Arabidopsis thaliana: one gene and its partners. The protein of the gene in region 2 purifies or fractionates together with the protein of the main gene of each other region. This does not show direct contact. Each region holds a gene or a part of one and is shown on either strand. Other genes may lie near its edges. The genes, in order: GDH3, MTHFR2 and GDH2.

What was found.
Region 1: the proteins of MTHFR2 (region 2) and GDH3 fractionate together in Arabidopsis thaliana (co-fractionation; one large-scale study listed by BioGRID). This does not show direct contact.
Region 3: the proteins of MTHFR2 (region 2) and GDH2 fractionate together in Arabidopsis thaliana (co-fractionation; one large-scale study listed by BioGRID). This does not show direct contact.

The regions. Positions count from the first base shown.
Region 1 is NC_003074.8:1,004,724-1,008,479, reverse strand, and holds the start of GDH3 (glutamate dehydrogenase 3), read right to left. Parts: upstream 1,701-3,756; 5' UTR 1,568-1,700; coding exon 1,460-1,567; intron 1,362-1,459; coding exon 1,248-1,361; intron 1,164-1,247; coding exon 942-1,163; intron 860-941; coding exon 785-859; intron 682-784; coding exon 565-681; intron 491-564; coding exon 240-490; intron 156-239; coding exon 80-155; intron 1-79.
Region 2 is NC_003071.7:18,260,099-18,263,854, forward strand, and holds the start of MTHFR2 (methylenetetrahydrofolate reductase 2), read left to right. Parts: upstream 1-2,090; 5' UTR 2,091-2,202; coding exon 2,203-2,665; intron 2,666-2,750; coding exon 2,751-2,833; intron 2,834-2,912; coding exon 2,913-3,086; intron 3,087-3,393; coding exon 3,394-3,567; intron 3,568-3,646; coding exon 3,647-3,747; intron 3,748-3,756. Other genes in the region: histone-lysine N-methyltransferase ASHH3, read left to right, coding at 1-22, 105-252, 386-425, 516-606, 695-743, 840-905.
Region 3 is NC_003076.8:2,353,844-2,357,599, reverse strand, and holds the start of GDH2 (glutamate dehydrogenase 2), read right to left. Parts: upstream 1,842-3,756; 5' UTR 1,448-1,841; coding exon 1,340-1,447; intron 1,239-1,339; coding exon 1,125-1,238; intron 1,014-1,124; coding exon 717-1,013; intron 558-716; coding exon 441-557; intron 348-440; coding exon 97-347; coding exon of another isoform or gene 54-96; exon of another isoform or gene 12-53; coding exon 1-11. Other genes in the region: AT5G07430 (Pectin lyase-like superfamily protein), read right to left, coding at 3,531-3,690.

The DNA of each region.
Region 1 (3,756 bases), on a different chromosome or scaffold from region 2:
GACAGATATTACAGAGTTTCTGTTACGCGAGTTTGAGAAGAAGAAAGAGCAAAAACAAAGTATCAGATTTTCGAATAACCTCGTCAGCCTCAGGATCAGTTGGGTGATTAGCACCTTCAATGATGAATTTGGCTTTTATTTCGTTTGCATTTTCCCTAAAACAGACCAAAGCCAGAGGTTTAGAGGAAATCATGATAGAGAATAGATTAATATTTTTGAGACAAGAAACTATAAAAGACCTGTTGATGACTCCCCCTAGAGCTGCAGGGACAAGAATATCACAATCTTCGACAAGAATCGAATCAGGATCGATTGAATCAGCACCATCAAACCCTTTGATTCCTCTGTTTTCTTCAGCATGCTCGAGCAAACTCAAGATGTCAATTCCATTATTGTTCTTGATTGCTCCTGTGACATCACTCACCGCCACAATCTTACCACCTTTGTCACTTATCAACTTCGCTGCCCAAGAACCCACATTTCCAAAGCCCTAAAACGCAGAGACAGTATGAGTACCCTGACACCGAAGTAATCTCTCTGACTAAACATTGTAACTTCTTTTACCTGGATGGCGAATCGCTGTCCAGATATGGTCTTTCCATGTTCGTTGAGTAAAGCTTCTGTTGCAAACAACACTCCTCTTCCTGTAGCAGCATCTCTCCCAAGAGATCCACCAAGATCCTGCTCAAAACATCATCCTCAAAAATCAAATCTCATTCAGTTTTAGATTAGTTGAACACATAAACCGAACCAACCTAAAACCGCGATTAGAACGGTCACTTACAATGGGTTTTCCAGTGACAACAGCAGGAGAATGTCCATGGAATTTTGAGTATTCATCAAGAATCCAAGCCATTGTCTGAAAATTTTCATCACTATATTTCAGACAAGAACAACACGTAAAATACAAGATGAAGACTTCAAGATCATGTTTTCGAAACCTGAGGACCGGTTCCCATATCAGGAGCTGGAACATCAGTATGAATCCCAATAAGATCGTGAATCTTCTGAGTGAAAACTCGAGTCAAACGTTCGAGCTCTGAGAGACTTAGCTCGCTCGGGTCACAACCGATTCCTCCTTTGGCTCCTCCATAAGGTATCTTAGCCACTGCTGTTTTCCATGTCATAAGTTGAGCCAAAGCGTTTACTTCATCCGGTTCAACCTGTCGATTACCGAAATCTGGTTTACTTCATGCCAATATTGAATTTGTTTTGGTTTGATGAAAAAAAAACAGAGTAAAACAAACCTCTGGATGATATCTGATTCCACCTTTCATGGGACCTCTTGCATTGTCGTGTTGAACTCTGAATCCAACAAAGGATGCTAGAGTTCCATCGTCTTTTGGTATGGTACATTCCACCTGCAATAGTTGGTTAGTTCCGTTCAAATGATCTTGAACCGGATCGGTTCTGCAGATCTGTTATAGATGGAAGAAGAAAACAGAGGAAAACATCGAACCTTGATCTCTCTGAAGGGAATGAGAAGACTTTTCTCGAGCTTTGAGTCTAAACCAAGAAGCCTAGAAGCAAGCTTGAAGTTTCTGTTGGTTGCTGCTAAAGCATTCATGGCTTTCTTCTCTCTTCTTTATTTTGGGTTTATTTGATCAGAGAGTCTGATATGAAGACAGTTGGAAAAATGTGAGTCTTGCTTATGTTATTGCAAGTTTATTTATATAGAGTGATACGTACACACTTCGTGTTATGGAATATGAGAATGAAAATTTTGTTATTTATATTTATAATAAAAGATAATTTATATAAGGAATATGAATAATCATATAAGATGATACCCATAATTGATCCTGATTTTGAGTATTCAGAATACTATGTGTCTGTTTAGCAAAGTTCTCACACAAAAAAAATATATAGATTATAGAAATAGCCCATGTCTTCACCATGTGTATAAACTAGATCAGAATAATGGAATATTCATTAATGAAAAGGAAATCCGTAGACTAATCAAGCAGAATAAATATATTCTTTTCATTACAAAAAGATCAGAATAAAAATAGGAAAAATCAAGATTTCACAAGATTATAAATATTACATGGATGAAAGAGATAGCTCGTAAAATTTATCTTATTGTGTCACACACTGTCATTTTATTCATTTTAAATCTAGATTAAAGGAAAAAATAACATTTCGTATTACCTAATTAGTACCCACCTAATAAGCAAGGACCAAGATATTGTTTTTCAGAATTTGTTTTTTTTTTTAAATAAGAAAATATGATACAATAATGATCTAGCAATAGCATGCATTGGACCGGATGACTATACTCGTGCATGAAAAATCATAGTCAAATTGTAATACGTTAATGTGGGACGATAATAATACTTTTTTTTTGTTTTATTATCTACGATTATATATATATTAATAATCATTTACATATTTGTGATATACGACCCGAAATGAATCTTGCATGTCATAAGATCTTTACGTGTTATTAACTTATTCAATTCTACTTGCCCCTACACATATAGGCATAGCGTATACACTTTTGTGAGAGGGTGACAAAAAAAAACGTATACACTTTAGTGAGCTAGTGGGAAAAAAACGTATAAACTTATCACACACATACAATATTCAGTTTTAATTGAAAAGATTCTACGGATATATGTTTTTTTAGATACTCAAATCAGAATCTTTTTGGAATTAGAGGAGGACACGAGAGGATGCAACAAATCAAGAAACATATAGAATTACAAGATTCCACCATGAAAGAATCTTTTTGGAAAAGAGATTCCCCATGATTTATGCTTCCACTAATATAATTGATTTATTGTGGATTTCCACCAAGATTTCTTTCTCTTTCAATTTCCAAAAGAAGATATCAATTTCGTAATAACAACATTGACCGTAAATAGTGTTTCCAAATTTGATCTCACCCTCTTTGGTCAAACCAATATATAGAAATAATACCCCAATAAAGAATCCGGTTCATGGTAGGCTTGGTAGCTAATGTCAAGGATTTAGTATTTTTAAAACGTTATGCATTAGCTTTCTATCACTTTTTAATACATGAAAAAAAAAAAAAAAAAAAAAACCAATTGGACTTTCTCCTAAAAGGCCATTCCCTAATAAACAACAAACTACGAAAAGCTAAACATGTATTTAAAATATTAAAGTGATAGAAAGCTAATGCATAACAATTAAATGAAGCAATTTTTTTATATTCTTTGGTCAAACCAATATATATACAGAAATAATACCCCATTAAAGAATACTGTTCATGGTAGCTAATGTCAAGGATTTAGTATTTTTAAAACGTTATGCATTAGCTTTCTATCACTTTTTAATAAATGAAAAATAATAACTCAAACAAATATAAAAGGCCATTCCCTCTACGAAAAGCAAAACATGTATTTAGAATATTAAAAAGTCTAAAATCAAACCTAAAATTCAAAAATCAATTAAAGGCCACAATTGTCCTATAAAATTATGGGCTTGAAGCCCAATAATATCTAAGTGAAAAACTAAACTTAAATGCTCTCTCAAGGGACCAAGTCTCATTATTACCATCACCTCCGAGCGTTCTCTTCTCTCCATCTGTCTGCCGCTCCTTTAACGTCGGTTCCCATTTTCTTATTCACAATGACCCCAAGAAACTCGAGGAGATGGAAAAAAGCAAAAGGTAAAACAAAAACAAAAAAGCTTTCTTCGAGAACCAGAGCACATTGATTCCAAGGTAATTACTTTCTCAATGCCATGGAAAAGGACCCATTTTGTTCCCCTTTCCTGTAATCTAATCGTTTC
Region 2 (3,756 bases):
AGCATTTGACCTATGATTATCAGTAAGTTTATATCCTCCTTCTCCAGTTTACTTTGTAACATATCTGTTTTTATGTTGAGTTGTGACACTAAGAAATAGAGCAGGTTTGTTCAGTTTGGTGCAGATCAAGACTGCCATTGTGGGGCTGTAGGTTGCAGAAGGAAGCTTGGTGTAAAACCTAGCAAACCTAAGATAGCCTCGGATGAAGCTTTTAATCTAGTGGCACATGAATTGGCCCAGACACTGCCCAAGGTATTTTCAAATTTTATCTGAAAAGAAGAATCAAATATATATCTCGTCTTTGCCCTGGCATAGTTTCACAGTCACTGAAAAATTTGTGTGATGAGGTCTAAGTGACTCTTTTTCTTTCCCCACTTTTGGTTAGGTGCATCAAAATGGACTTGTAAATAGACACATAGATGCAGGTAAGTTTGGATTTTTTCTGCTCAATTTGCGAGAGTAGCTTATTGTGTTTTGGTTGTAAGAAAGTAATTTGGATTCCCATGTTTCTCCAGGAAAATCATGGAACAATCTTAGTCAAAGGGATACATGTTCGCGTAATTGCATTGGTGTGGTGATCAGGTTATCTCGCCCCACGAGTGATAGGTATTTATTGAGTTTTGAACTCGTGGATTAGTTTTATGACTCATTCTATGCTTTTCTCATCCAATGTTTTATCTTTTGAGATTTTCAGGTGTTTTGGCCTCGTTAGACATTTTGATGAGTATTCAAGAAAGCACTCGGTATTACAATTAGCCAATACTTGTTCCTCACCATCGAACTTGGCAAAATCATTCTCAATTAAGACCTCTCTGTTAACATCTTTAAACTTGGTCCAGGTGATGTTCGAGGATGGTGTTACCGAGTTTGTCGACATGTCGAGAGAAGACTGGGAGATTGTCTAATATTGTTTTCAGGTGATTTATACTCTTCACTCTCTTAATGAAACATTAAAACTCCCAGAAGCATAGAGTATTAAATTACCCTGGCTGCTATGTTTCTGCAGATTGCTTTGAAGTTGAGAAACCAAAATAACCTGTCTTGGTAAACTAAAGGTATCCCAAAAAACCCGGGTCTGACTGACTGGGATTGGTGCAGTGACATTGTTTGTTGCGTCTAACTTGTGACCTGTGTTTGTACAACCATTATAAGAGATATCATATATCTACTTGTGTAACCACATCTGTACTTTCTTCTCCTTCCTTCTTTTTTCATGGGGATCTCAAATGATGATGTCTTGCAAGAACCTTCGTGGTGTGTAATTGACTTTGTAAGAACCGGTAATCTCATATCCGGTTTAGCTTTTAAAAATTTGTATCCAAAGACCGGTTTGTTCTTGTTTGCATGTGCTGTTCTTATTCGTGCATCTGTGTGAGTGTGACTGTGTCGGTGTCGCCGACAAAAGCCGGTGTTTGCAAAATCTGACCAGTTTTGTTTTAGCGATTAACGTTTCAAATTCCTTCAAATGCAAAATGAGTTAAACAAGTGAAAAATTACTAAAACAACATAACAGTTTTAAATTGGAAAAAGTTTTGTAAAGTTTAAAGATACACTGTAAGTGAAAAACGGAAAATTTTAATTAGATTTTTTTTTTTTTTTTTTTTTTTTGGTAAAAGTAGATTATTTTTGTTAAACAAAAGTGATGGATCATTGGTTTTTTGGTAGTAGGTGGGTGATGTGGGTGTGTGGTTCTGGTTCACCAACTCAAAAAGCATAGACTGCAGGGGTTGGGGATTGATAACGACAAATCTAATTGTGGTTGGTAAATCTTTTACTAATCACATTCCTTTAAAATAATTATGTAACTCATCTTGTTTACTAATATCAACTCGACTATCTTAATATCAAATAACTCGGATTCTTCATTTTTTTCACTTTAGAATGGTTTGGTAAATCTCTTGAATAATAAACACTTTAATAAAAATGTTTTTTTTTGTCAAGCATAAAAATGTAACTCATGTTGTCTAACTACATGGATTTTCGCACAAAACAATGATTAAATGTAAATTATGTAATTATACTTTATTTAAAGTATGATTTTGTCTTAAAAATGAAAATAATATAAGGAAGTGGACGGGTAAGGTAAAGTCTAAAATTCACCAAACATTTTGGAATCTCTCTGTTTACTATAAAGCAGTGAGTAGAAGAACCTGAAAGAACTCGCCTTTGTCTCTCATTCTTCTTCTCCATTTCGAAAAGAAGATGAAGGTGATAGATAAGATCCAGTCATTAGCCGACGAAGGCAAAACAGCGTTTTCCTTCGAATTCTTCCCACCAAAGACAGAAGATGGAGTCGACAATCTCTTTGAGAGAATGGATCGAATGGTTGCTTATGGTCCAACGTTTTGCGATATCACTTGGGGAGCTGGTGGATCTACCGCAGATCTAACGCTTGATATAGCTTCGAGGATGCAAAACGTTGTTTGTGTTGAGAGTATGATGCATCTTACGTGTACTAACATGCCTGTTGAGAAGATTGATCATGCTCTTGAGACTATTAGATCTAATGGGATTCAGAATGTGCTTGCTCTTAGAGGTGATCCTCCTCATGGTCAAGATAAGTTTGTTCAGGTTGAAGGTGGTTTTGATTGTGCTTTGGATCTTGTTAATCACATTCGTAGCAAGTATGGTGATTACTTTGGTATCACTGTCGCTGGTTATCCTGGTAATGTCTCGAATTCGAATTTGATTTCTTTGTTTCGTGTGATTTGTAGCTAAAGATTGGATTTTTATGTGTTTTGATATTTCAGAGGCGCATCCTGATGTTATTGGTGAGAATGGTCTTGCGTCTAATGAAGCTTATCAGAGTGATCTTGAGTATCTGAAGAAAAAGGTTTGTTTTGTTTGTTTTTGTTTTGCTTTGTTCTTAAATGTCTGCATCAATTTTTGAATTTGGGTTTGTCTTGGAACAGATTGATGCTGGAGCTGATCTGATTGTTACTCAGCTTTTCTATGATACTGATATATTCCTCAAGTTTGTGAATGATTGTCGGCAAATTGGGATTAGTTGTCCCATTGTTCCTGGAATTATGCCTATTAATAACTACAGAGGCTTTTTGCGTATGACTGGTTTCTGCAAGACTAAGGTAAGTTTTGATCGTTTAGTAAACACCAGTTCCTGCAAATGAATCACCTTTTAGGAGATGAATGATATTGCTTGTTGCCTTTCCATAAAGGTGTTTGTTTGCTAGCTTAGGATATGTTTTTAAAAAAGTGTATTTAAGGTTTCGTGATCAGCTAGATGAAATTGAGATACTTGATTATATTATTGTTTTCAGAGAAAGTGTTTGTTGGATAGCTATTCAAAGAGAATTCTTTATATTAATGTAGATACCAGCTGTGCTTTTTGTGAAAAAAAGATAGATGAATTTACATATGATTATATTAATGTAGATACCAGTTGAGGTGATGGCTGCCTTGGAGCCTATCAAGGATAACGAAGAAGCTGTGAAAGCCTATGGTATTCACCTTGGAACAGAGATGTGTAAAAAGATGTTGGCTCATGGAGTCAAGTCTCTTCATCTCTACACATTGAACATGGAGAAATCTGCTCTTGCAATATTGATGGTTGGTCCTCACTTTTTCTACTTGATGTAAAGCATGATACTGATAGTGGAGTAGCTTTACTATTTTGTTGTTGTTTCAGAATCTTGGTATGATTGATGAGTCCAAAATTTCTCGTTCTTTACCCTGGAGACGCCCTGCAAATGTTTTCCGTACTAAGGAAGATGTGCGCCCCATTTTCTGGTAACAGAG
Region 3 (3,756 bases), on a different chromosome or scaffold from region 2:
CAGCATTTTCCCTGAACAAATATTGGGAAATATAAGAATCAGAAAGTGAATCTCTATGATTGGTGTTGATTTGATGAGTGAAGTTTTTGAACTGACTTGTTCAGGACACCACCAAGAGCGCATGGAATGAGAACATCACACTCATGAATGAGCAATTCATCTGAATTCATAGCGTCTCCACCATTGAAATCATTGAGACTTCCAGTTGCGTCCTTGTGTTTTATGAGAGCGTTGATGTCGATACCTTCAGGGTTCCTGATTGCACCAGTAATGTCGCTTACTGCAACCACTTTACCGCCTTTCTCGTGGATCAGCTTCGCAGCCCATGTTCCAACATTCCCAAAACCCTGTCACATATCATCCAAATCTCTCAACATTTCTGTCTTATATCATATACACAATAAAGCTTGAGATCTGAGATTAGCTGATAATGGTTTTACTTGAATAACAAATGTCAAACCCTGAATCGATTTCCCGTACTCAGCAAGAAGAGCTTCGGTGGCAAATACTACACCACGACCTGTGGCAGCTTCCCTACCTAATGAACCACCAAGATCCTACACCAAAGTGATCCAACAGTTACTTCTATACCAAAAAGCTCAAAACTATGGTAATCACATAGAAACATCGAATTAATTCAAATCAAGAAAACATCCATAGAATAAACAACAGATTCCGGACTCAGAATGATATAACCAAAATCTTAAAAGCCTTACAATGGGCTTTCCAGTGACAACAGCAGGGGAATGACCATGAAACTTGGAGTACTCATCAAGAATCCAAGCCATGGTTTGAGCGTTAGTGCCCATATCAGGAGCAGGCACATCGGTATGAATACCGATAAGATCATGAATCTTCTGTGTAAACACACGAGTCAACCTCTCAAGCTCGCTCAAACTCAAGTCACGAGGACTACATCCAATTCCACCTTTAGCACCACCATATGGAATATCTGCTACAGCAGTCTTCCAAGTCATCAGCTGAGCTAGTGCGTTAACTTCATCTGGATCAACCTTCAAACCAAAAAATCAAAACCCTTAATTCAAATCCCTAGATTCAATCTATAACCCCCAAAGTTGTCAACTTTAAATCCTAGATCAAGAACAAATGATAAAAGACCCTACCTCAGGATGATATCTGATTCCACCTTTCATGGGTCCACGAGCATTGTCATGTTGAACCCTAAATCCGATGTATGAAACCAGAGTGCCATCGTCTTTAGGAATCGTACACTCAACCTGAAATCAAAAGTAAAAAAATCCAAACAAAGATTGAGACGAATTTTCCCCAAAAACGAAACAAAAGAGTAAAACCTCAAAAGGAAAAAAAAAAGTCAAACCTTGATTTCTCTAAATGGGATCATAAGACTTCTCTCGATCTTCGAATCCAAACCCAGGATTCGAGATGCATGACGGAAGTTTCTGTTTGTTGCAGCTAAAGCATTCATGGTTTCTTCTCTATAAAAAATTCGAACTTTATGGAACAAAAAAAAAAAAAAAATCAACAAACCAAAAAATTCAAAGTGATCGGAAGATCCAAGATATCAGAAAGTGAAATTTGTATCTCGTGATCGGAGAAATTTACCGATTGTAAATGGGAAAAAGGTAAGAACTTGGAGTTTTTGATTTGTTGTGATGAATTGAAGAAGAAAGAATTGAGTATTTGTAGGGGAAAGAAGAGAAAGCGTAATTTGAATGAGATCGGATATTTTTGACGTATCCTACGTCAGACGGAGACTAATTATCGACTGCAATGACTCTTTTACCCCTTATTATTTATTTGGATTTCTCTAATCTTTTTTTTGGCTATCTCATCATTTTTAACTCCTTTTTAAGTCAAACATATCTTTAGAAGATTAACATTCCTTTAAAATTTACTAAAAAAATATTGGCTTGAGTTGGAAAGTTATAAATAATAATCGAAAAAATTACGGAAAAAAAATTTAGTAATTACAAGAACTACAAAAGTTTTTAAGAATATACCAACATGGTAAATTCGTAAATAACGGTGGAGAAGGTAGTAAATTTTGATTTTAACACTAATTGTTTTAAAAAACCATGTGATATTTTCAGGGATTTTTTTTTTTTTATAACTTTAATTGAGGAAAAGAAAACGATATTGGTTTCTTGAAATTTTCGGTTTCCGTTTTCTTACTGGTGTCCTGTGACAGGATCGGGACGTGGATACCCAATTAGGATGGAGCTGGGACAGACTGTTTTTGGGGACGGCGTTATATGACTTTTTACCTTGTTGATTACTATGTTGTATGACTCATTTATTTTTCCCAAATACAGTATTGTATTATCACTTTTATGAGACATTTAATGACATTTCATATTTGGAATACATATACAAATGTTATCAATTAGTACAGCAAATTGTGGATAAACTTCAGACCTGCTTACATAAGGTCCACGTTAGAAACAAAATAAAAACATGCATCTAGTGCAATTGACTCGCATTCTTTAAATACTAAGGCATTTTAGGAATATCTCTCCATAATTAGTGAAATTAAAAATGATTTTAATCCGAATATACTATAGAATATGACCAACAATATTTATTTAAAACATTTCCGAAAACGTATTTATATATATCAACAAAACGTGAAAGAAAAAAAATTGATCGTCGATGTTATCACGAGGAGATGCGAAAAACATGGAAGTAAAGCTCATTTAGGGGCGTGGATTCTCTGCGGATGTGACAATATTGTACTAATGGTTCTAAACAATCTTAGCCGTTGAAAATCGGATGGTCATTAAATCGTAAGAACCAGATTCCGAATCTAAGTCAGACTCAGCAGAACACGTTGCAGAAGTTGCTATCCTTCTCTTCTTTAATTGGATGGCGACTTTTTGCTGACCTGGCTGTGACGCGGCTACTCGCGGCGGCTTCGTCGGTGCATATCTATATTTTTTTTTTCTTTTGACCATTGGGTCTTCACTTAATTCAATAAAATTTATGCATGCATCTCTTATGGATTAAAATATACTAATTCGCCGAGAAAATTAAAGAAAGAAGAAGCTGATTCATATATATACGAAAAATATTGAAGTTTAACATTTGCAACTAGAACTATTAAAATGATGAGATCTAGAAAATGTGTGTGTTCTACTTTTTTTTGGTTAAAATAATCAAAATGTTTAATAAAAGCATATATATCATGGATAGACATTGACTCTTTCTTTTTGTTGGTACTTTAAACATATATACCATGAACGTTTAACATAAGAAAAACAAAAACAAATCATTAACTCAATAGGGTGTGAACATAATTATGATATTTTACAAAAACAAATTTTGTATATATATCCTATAGGAATTTCTAAATAAAGGAAAACAAAAACACCACAAACATCCGGTATATATAGAAATGAATGAATTGGAAGATTTATATATGTAGAAAAAATATTGATCAATTCATATCTTAAGCAATACAAAAAAAAAATAAAGAAACTAAAAAGATGGGAACATTTCAATTATAAATTAAAGAACGGTGTTACAACAAATAAGTTGTCTTAAGAAAAATTTCAGTATTTAGGAGGAGGAAGTAGCCATGTGGAGCCCTTAATGTAACCAAGAGTGAGGAAAGGCGTAACTTCGTTTTTGTCAATATCTTGTGTGTAAGGCACTCTCTTCTCTAAGTGTGACCCTGGTCCGAAACACTTGTATTCTCCATAGAACACCGTCCTGTATTTATACAACACACAATATCAAATTCAGTTTATAATCAAATATATATATAAAATGTAGTTC